2 linked regions of the Drosophila melanogaster genome follow. The gene in region 2 interacts genetically with the main gene of each other region. Each region holds a gene or a part of one and is shown on either strand. Other genes may lie near its edges.

Region 1 (5,101 bases), on a different chromosome or scaffold from region 2:
AGTCACATCCAGACTGCCGACATTGCTGCTACCCTTGCCGGTGTCCGTATCGGTGCCCGATCCCGAGCAGGAACCAGAGCTGGAGCTAGAGCTGCTAGAACTGGAGCTACTGCTGCTCGTATTGCTCACATCGATGTCCTCCAGCACCGATGAGTTCGAGGCATCGTCGCTGAGAACGGTTTTCAGATTGGGAATCCCCGGAGGACACGGATCGACCGTGTCCGCCGCCTGGACAGGCTCCTCCAAAGTAGTCATTGTCCTACAAACAAGTTAACTTTGATTGATCAGGAATACCAGTAAAGCCGAATATTATTCTTGAATAACTACTACTCACCTTTCTTTTGGCGCTGCTCTGATACAACAAGTTCTTGTCTTTTGTCGATTCAATGGATTCCTTTTGTTTTATTGTTTTTGGGCTGCTTTTCCCGTTCCCGTTCCTGTTTCCTGATTGCAATTCCGTATTTCCTGGCTCCTAAATTCTGGTCGCTGCTTGCTTTTCTAGTCCTTTGCGCTTGCTTGCATTTGCTGCTGATCCTATTCCTGATCCTATTCCTGATCCTAATCCTGCTGCTGCTGCTGCTGCTGCTGCTACTTCTGCTGCTCCCTAATGTCCCTCCGCTCTCCCACGAGGGCCATTCCAATTGAGGTCCCTTCTATTGCCGCAAGAAAAGGCCAACAATAGTTCGTTTCGTCGGGGTAAAAATGAGCGAAGGACCTATACAATCCACGCGCACGCACACACACACACACTGATGCGCAACAAACACCCCTTCTTCTCCTCCGCTTACTTAAAATGTATTGCAAATTTGTAAACAAATTTGCGAGCCTCCTTCGGCTTTCGGCTTATCTTAGTTTTTTGGTTTTTGTTTGGTGTTTTCGATTGTTGTTGCTGATTCGCTGCTTGTCTTACTTTTCTAGATATTTAGATATTGCCGAATATTTTTAAAGCATTTGGAAACTGTGTATTGCAGTGATCCTCCTCCTGTTTGATGTGGCTGTTCTTTTGCTTCTTCTTGTTGCACAAGGACGAAATAAAATTAAGGACGAACGAGGAGACGACAACAAACACTGACGAAGAACACGGCGATGCAAATTGGACGACAGCGCCGCTCCTTTTGGTATTTAAAAAAGAACAATGGATACAAAAATCACGTTAATCGGTGGCTAGAAATTTACAAAAATGTACAAATTAATAAATATAAAACTAAAACAGAAATATAAATTCTGTAACGCAGAACAAAATATATCAAATATAGATGAACCTTACTGACATATGGAGAAAGGGAATTTGGCATTAAATCAAATGAAACATTTCTTTTTTACCCTTTCCATACGCAGTGCAACCCCCTTTAAAACGCCTCTGGCTTTTGCAACAGCACACACACACTCACACACTCTGCTGCATACTTTCCGGATGTTAGCAAAGTATATTGGCCATTTTTCAGATAAATCTAATTTCAAAATTAACGTAACTCAGCAAGAATTGGAAATGCGATTCTTATTGATATACAATAGGTAATAATTTTCTTATTCATTTTGAAGTCCTAAGTCAGTTAAGTAAAAAAAATAATAAAAATATGATTAGGTTTGAAAACTTTTTATTGATTACCAAAATTGTGTTATTTAGTGAAATATCTATATCTATCTATATCTATATCTATAATTTTATGTCATCATCTGACAAGAATTGTTGCCTTCTTCCAATTCGACTGCGACGGGACCTTAGGCGTAGTCCAATTCAAAACGCTTGGCATTTGTATAACGCTTTCCCATGAAATCGAATTTGAATTAATATAGCCGGCAAGAGCTACCAGGATGGAATGGAATAATGCCGTTTTGAGAGTTTAATGGGAAAGGATAAGAACTAGCAACATAGATTTCGTGCATTGAATGTTTATCCGATCGTAGGTTATCCAATTAATGTCTATGTTAGGCCACTAATGGAGAGAGTGGGGAAGGGGGTGGTAGTATCGGTTCCCTTTTGCGTTAAGTTTACGTTACGTTTTTCTCCGTTATGTGTAGCTATGCGCCACACACACACACACACACACACACATCAAGCTCTTCTTTACTCCTGCTTCCTGCTTTTGCTACCCGTTCACGCAGGCGCGTTCATAGTGATGACCTTTCTAGCCATTTATCCGCTAGCTGCGCAAAAAAATAGCTGCCCTAACAAGGACAAGCTGGGGCACAAAGTCCTTGAACAACTAATTCAATTGGGGCAAGGCAATTGCCTAAATAAATACGTTTAAATCAGCGGAAGTGAGCGGTAGTTTAAAATCTACTTTAGTTTTGTGCCCCCTCCAAACACTCGCAACCAAACACCCACATGCCGAATCAGCTGCATACACACAGACACAAGCGCCTACAAGCGAACACACGTGGTAAACGGAATTTAGTACCGCTGCTTTGCCCCTTTTTTTCACTGTTCTGTTTTATTTTGCTTTGCTTTATCGGACCTGGATGATTTTGTTGGTCCCCCTATCGACTTTGTCAATTCTGCGCCGCAGCTGATATTTTCTTGTCCATTTCCACGTACTTTTTGATTTATTTCACTTTTAAATGTGTGCCGCTCTCTCTCTTGCTACTCGCAAACGGTTATTTTCGAGTGCAGCGCTGGCTGGGCTGCGAAAGAGATAGAAGAGGAGCGATAAGCGATTGAGAGAGAGAGAGAGCGAAAAATCGGTTATGCGAAGAAAAGTTCTCAATTTCGTTCGTATTGGTGTGCGCAAGCTCACTCAACGCGGCAAAAAATGAAATACGAATACGAAAAACGGCACCCACACATACAGAATACAAAAAAAAACACACACACACACCATGTGAAATTAAAACTGAATTCCCTTTTTCGATTTCGGAATAAACACTATTCTTGACCGACCGGACGAACTGTCGTCGATTTAAAAGTTTTAGTTGGGGGGCGCGGGTGGTGGCTAAGACAACTCTCGACGGGGTCGCGGGGTGACAATCGACAAGGGGGGGCACTGCCGTTGTCCTTGAACGCAAAATTTCCACTTGACTACCGCCCAGGTGGTCGTGGTCAAAAGGCACTCAACACACACGCCTGCACATGCATACACACACACTCTCACAAACCGAACAGCAGACAGGAGGCGAAAAAGGTCCTTGAAATGCCTGAACACTTCACTGTCTGTCCGGCGTTGTCAGCTTTTACTGTCCAATTTAAACTGCTAACTGCTTTTTCGCAACTGTCACCACCTTATATTTAAATGTAGTTTTCGTTTTCACACGTTTTTTTGTTGGTTCTTTTTGTTTTTTGCTGCTCTCTTTTGCTTGTTACGTTACGATTTTATATTTGCCCGTCCCACACAAACGCCTACACGCAGGAACACAAGAGAACACTACACACCACAGGCAGTTATATCTACAGTTACCGTTATTCACTGATTCAGCGAATTTAGCACGTTCTGGGACATTAAAAACAACCAGAAGACCGCCAATTTGATTGGAGTCGATAATTATTGGATTAAACAAATAATTACTTTACTGCTCCCGTCGAACTTTTGTATGCAGTGCAGCTAGGGATGATAGATATATATTTCAGCACAGCCACGTATCGATAGTTTTTGAAAAGCGATGCCCTGATATCGATAGTTATATTGAATAAACGCGTATCGGTCGCCAAATATTTATTTTAAGTTTTCATTCCGCAAAGCTTACATCTTTAATAAGTATAATATAATTATATATATATATATTTAAATAATAACACAAAATACGCTTTATTATTACATGTTACATTACATTTAAATGTCAGTTTGACTCATTTCCGCATGCATATTTTGCATATCAGTTAAATAGGGTAAAATGATGGGATTAATCCCATTCCTTGTCACGCATTCCAACTCGTTTATAATATTATCCAATCTGTCCATCAATATCCGATGCTCTCTAAGCATAGAATTGAATTGATCTTCAGAATTCTGCTGCGATGCGGGCACGTGTTTAGTATCCAATTCCGATGCGTGCACGTTTTCAGTATCATTTTCCGATGCGTGCAGTTTTCGATTGAATTCTGATGTATATTCAACTACCAAAGTCTTTATTTTGACAAAGAAGTTGTTTTTAAAGTATGTATGTTCCATTTGCGTCTTTTCGTTGCGAGTTTTAATAGTATTTTCCCCTTTGGAAAATGCATCCCACAAGCTTTGCAATTTGGATAGTCGCCCTTCAAAATATCCAGGTTTAGATTTCCGTTGAGCCGGAGCCTTTTTATAATTGCGAATAATGCTTTGAATCTTCTCGCCCAAATTCATTTGCTCGGCCAACAGCGCACTAATGCTCGACGATCCGGCCATCTTAATTGAAAGTCTCTTAAAATGGTAACAGGAATATCAACAATTCAATGATACTCTAAGCTTGGCTCTTTTTGTACTGCCTTGAATTGTCGCTCTACAAAAGGACTCCAGTTATTTCTGAAAGCGCAGGTAATTTTAGGAAGAACGTGTGTCAGGTAGGTGGTATTCCCAGATTAATATGCAGATGGCCAATCAGTTTTTGTTTTATGGCCTTACCGTGTACCGCTACAGGTAAGCTCTTAAATTTATTTGTGCACCTTTTTATTTCGGGGAATTTTCTATCGAACACGAGTAAATTCTCGAGCGTTTAAGATCAACGCGCCGAGCACACTTCTGGGTATTTAAGGAGTTTTAAGCATATGCAAGCCGGTCACACGACGACTATCGACACTTATCGTCAGCGTCTATCGATTAAACTTGCACGTTTCGCCCCAAACATATACATTTCATTTAAAAAAGCACACTTAAACAGGAACTTTCGTGTGGATAGCAATCAAATCATGTCCACCGTGAGCGACCCCAACAGTAGCAATCCGCCGGAGAGTGCGGGGAACATTCGGCCGGAGCCCATTTTCCGGGAAATCAATGCGGAGCAGACCGACGAGATAGTGGAGGTCGAATCCGCCTGCATGAACTGCTTCGAAACGGGAGTCACTCGGCTGCTGCCCACCAAGATACCCTTTTTTCGCGAGGTGGTGCTCATGTCCTTCAAGTGCGACCACTGCGGCCACATCAACAACGAGATGCAGTCGGCATCGGAGATCCAAAAGTCCGGCATTCGC
Region 2 (3,031 bases):
TCACTTCACTTAATCAATCCAATGCGCCCCCAGATTCGCCGGCATCAGCTGCGGGATCGTCTACCTGTACGCCATAAACTTTCAGAACGTGGACGAGGACGCCTACGGAGGGGTATGGGAGCTGATCAAGGAGGGGTTCATGACGTCGTTTGCCGGATTCCTGGTCACGTGGATCATCTTCTACACTGGCCTGCACTACGACGCCATAATGGCGGCGAAAGGATCTTAATAACACTCCCCAGCAATACCGGATTCCAGGAGCCAGGTCCACACCACACCACTCCACTCTCCACATAAGCCAGCAGCTCCTCTCGTTTTGTGTCCCCTTTGTACTCGCTGTAGATTGTTAAACTTTTAGCCAATTACGGTCATGTAAATGCATTTCTGTTGTGACCGATTGTCCCGAATCTTTCCGTGAAAGATCCTTCGGCCAGCGGTCTTAGTTGAAAACAGAAGATTCTATATGTTTTTGAGTGTCCGAAATGCAGAATGCGATGAATCAACTTTTGGTGTTTTATTAAAAAATATTGGTCTACGGTTATAAGGTAGCTGACAGATGAGCGGATAATTCTAGTCCTAGTATTCCATGGCCACGGCCCCCGAACCGTTGTGCCCCGCCCCGTTCTGTGCCACCGCCTCCATCTCGTGCTGAAACTTATCCGGCAGCTGGCCGCTTTGCAGGATCTGCGATAGACGCTCCACCTCTGCCAGAGAGCTGGCCCGCTTGATGGCCTCGCGGATGCGCTGCATGTCCTGCGGATTGGCCAGTCGTCCGCCTTCCGATCCCCTTCCCTTGCCATTCCCCGCCTCTGCAGCTATGGCGGCTGCGGCGCTCATCTTGGACTTCCGGCTAATCTCCTTTAGCACGTCCTTGCCCTGCTTGGTGCGGAAGAACTCCTGCGCCGCCTGGCGGTCCTTCTGCTTGATCTTCCTGAAGTCGAGTAGCCGCAGCTGCGGGAACTTGTAGGCCATGTACTCGCGGTAGTTGGGCTTCGTGGATACCGGGTTGATAAGCAGGCAGATGGTTTCCAGCTTGGTGAATCCGACCAGGGGCTCTAAGTCGCTCAGCTCCTGCAGGTTGTTGCCGGTGAGAATGATGGAGCCCAGGTTGGGCACCGCCTCCTCCAGCCCTTCGCTGATGCGCAGGATGCGGTTGTTGTTCAGCAGCAGGCACTTGAGGCGCGGCAGATGCGGCAGGTTGTCCAGCTTGCGCAGATCGTTGTCGGACAAGTCGATGGTATCAAACTGGTCCAGAGTTGCGCCCAGGTTCTCGATTTGTGGAATCTTATAGCCGCGCAAATCCAGCTCGCGCTCCCGGCATGGGTTTATGTATTGCATCGACTGGTTTATCAGCTCCGGCGTTAGTTTCACCATCTTGGCAGTTATAGTATGCTTACGTTTGGTCTTTACTCGGTCTTTTTATACTCTTTTGAAGCTTATTTTCCGAAATGCAGAAAAACAATTCGCTGCCGACGCGAGTTGGTGATGAACAGTTTTCCGATAGCAAGCAATGCCGGCATCGCTATCGATAGATCTAGTGGTAACAATGTTTTGGTATTTTATCGGTCTGCTGGGCTTCTACCATTCTAAATATCGTAATAATACTGGGATTACTCCAATGCTGCCAATAGGGCCCCTGATCTTTCGAAATTCAAAAATAAATAAATAACACTACTGTCCAATATCGTTTCCGTTTAATTTGAATTTCAATAGATTACAATGATGTTTTAATTGCTTAACTTTAATGAACACGTTAAGTTTCTCTTATTTCGTTTCGGGGTTTTGAATGAGAACGGGATACACTCAAAACTCGAAGTGTGTGGTCGGTGGTGGACTGGTTTAAAGTTTAAACGCTGCTCTGAATATATTCTGTGTCGTTGGTGCAAACTACTAGATCATCAAAATTGAAGTTGATCGTTTTGCGATAAGGGTAATTAGTTTTCTATAGATTTCGGTTTTCTGTTGTTAAATGGCTTAGTAATTTTATATCGGTTTCGTTTTCGCCTAGTTTCTTAAATTGTTAACTATTTAGAAAATAATCAATAAGATCGTCGGTCTCCGCCTTGTTTCTAAATAAATGCATTTGTTTCTGGCGGCATAACGCGCCTCAAAATTTGAAAACGGATTGTCGCTTAAATACTATAAATACTATAAGTATGTGTATAGGGGAGGTAAACAGAAAAGGGGAAATAATAAACCATAAAGTTTGTATTTGGAAGCAGTTATAAAAAATATTATATTTCATTTAGATTTTTTTAGGTTTAGCCCATTAAAATAGTTCTTATACACTCAATCGAATTACATAATATGTATAGTGTATCATATTCATTGCGTTATTTTCGTTAGTTTCATTGAAATTGATGTAGAGCACACGCTAAAAATATTTGTAGATTAATTCTGTATATAATTGGCACTTAACTGATTTAAATACATAAAAATATAAAATATAGTACACAAAACATTTTTAAAAATATGCAAAGGTTAATTTGGATAAAAGTATCAGGGTTTGTATCAATAAATAAATCACGTTCATTCTAAATTGCCAAATGAAAACAACACACACGCGGCATTGCACATAAATTAATGGTTCAGTACGATAAGTTGCAACCTTGTTTCCCTCTATCCTTCTGTCTTCACCATTTCATCTCATTTCCTCCTTATCATCAGTATCATCACTTAACGTTATCATCAACCCTACTATCTATCACGTGAAACTGTGGCAGGTTGGGTGAAGGACTAGGGATCGACGTGAGGGAATGTTGAGCATATAACTAGAACACTTATAAATCAACGACATCCTCCTTGGTGTAGGTCGAGTCTCTAAAACCGCGTCTGGTCGCCATGCTCTGCTGCAGTTCTTCAACTAATGTCTCCTGTGGGTAAGTGGAAGAGTGATTCTATTAGACGGCTCGATTAAATAGGAGCTAAACAGGCAAACACAAACTAGATGAAATTACAGGCAAAATGCGGCATACTGGCTAATACGACACAACTTAAGGAATACACACTATGCAGCAAATGCGAATGTTAG

The links.
Region 1: of U2A (region 2) and mei-P26, changing one suppresses a phenotype caused by changing the other (phenotypic suppression), as found in Drosophila melanogaster (one study listed by BioGRID).

Annotation. Positions count from the first base shown.
Region 1 is NC_004354.4:9,161,693-9,166,793, reverse strand, and holds the start of mei-P26 (meiotic P26), read right to left. Parts: upstream 3,540-5,101; 5' UTR 3,396-3,539; intron 2,632-3,395; exon of another isoform or gene 2,460-2,631; intron 1,113-2,459; 5' UTR 335-1,112; intron 275-334; exon of another isoform or gene 260-274; 5' UTR 256-259; coding exon 1-255. Other genes in the region: CG44532 (uncharacterized protein), read right to left, coding at 3,768-4,319; Zpr1, read left to right, coding at 4,820-5,101.
Region 2 is NT_033778.4:7,674,862-7,677,892, forward strand, and holds U2A (U2A), read right to left. Parts: upstream 1,502-3,031; 5' UTR 1,375-1,501; coding exon 577-1,374; 3' UTR 501-576; downstream 1-500. Other genes in the region: CG12107 (uncharacterized protein), read left to right, coding at 34-229; LRR (Leucine-rich repeat), read right to left, coding at 2,781-2,873. UniProt on the Drosophila melanogaster protein: Involved in pre-mRNA splicing as component of the spliceosome. Associated with sn-RNP U2, where it contributes to the binding of stem loop IV of U2 snRNA.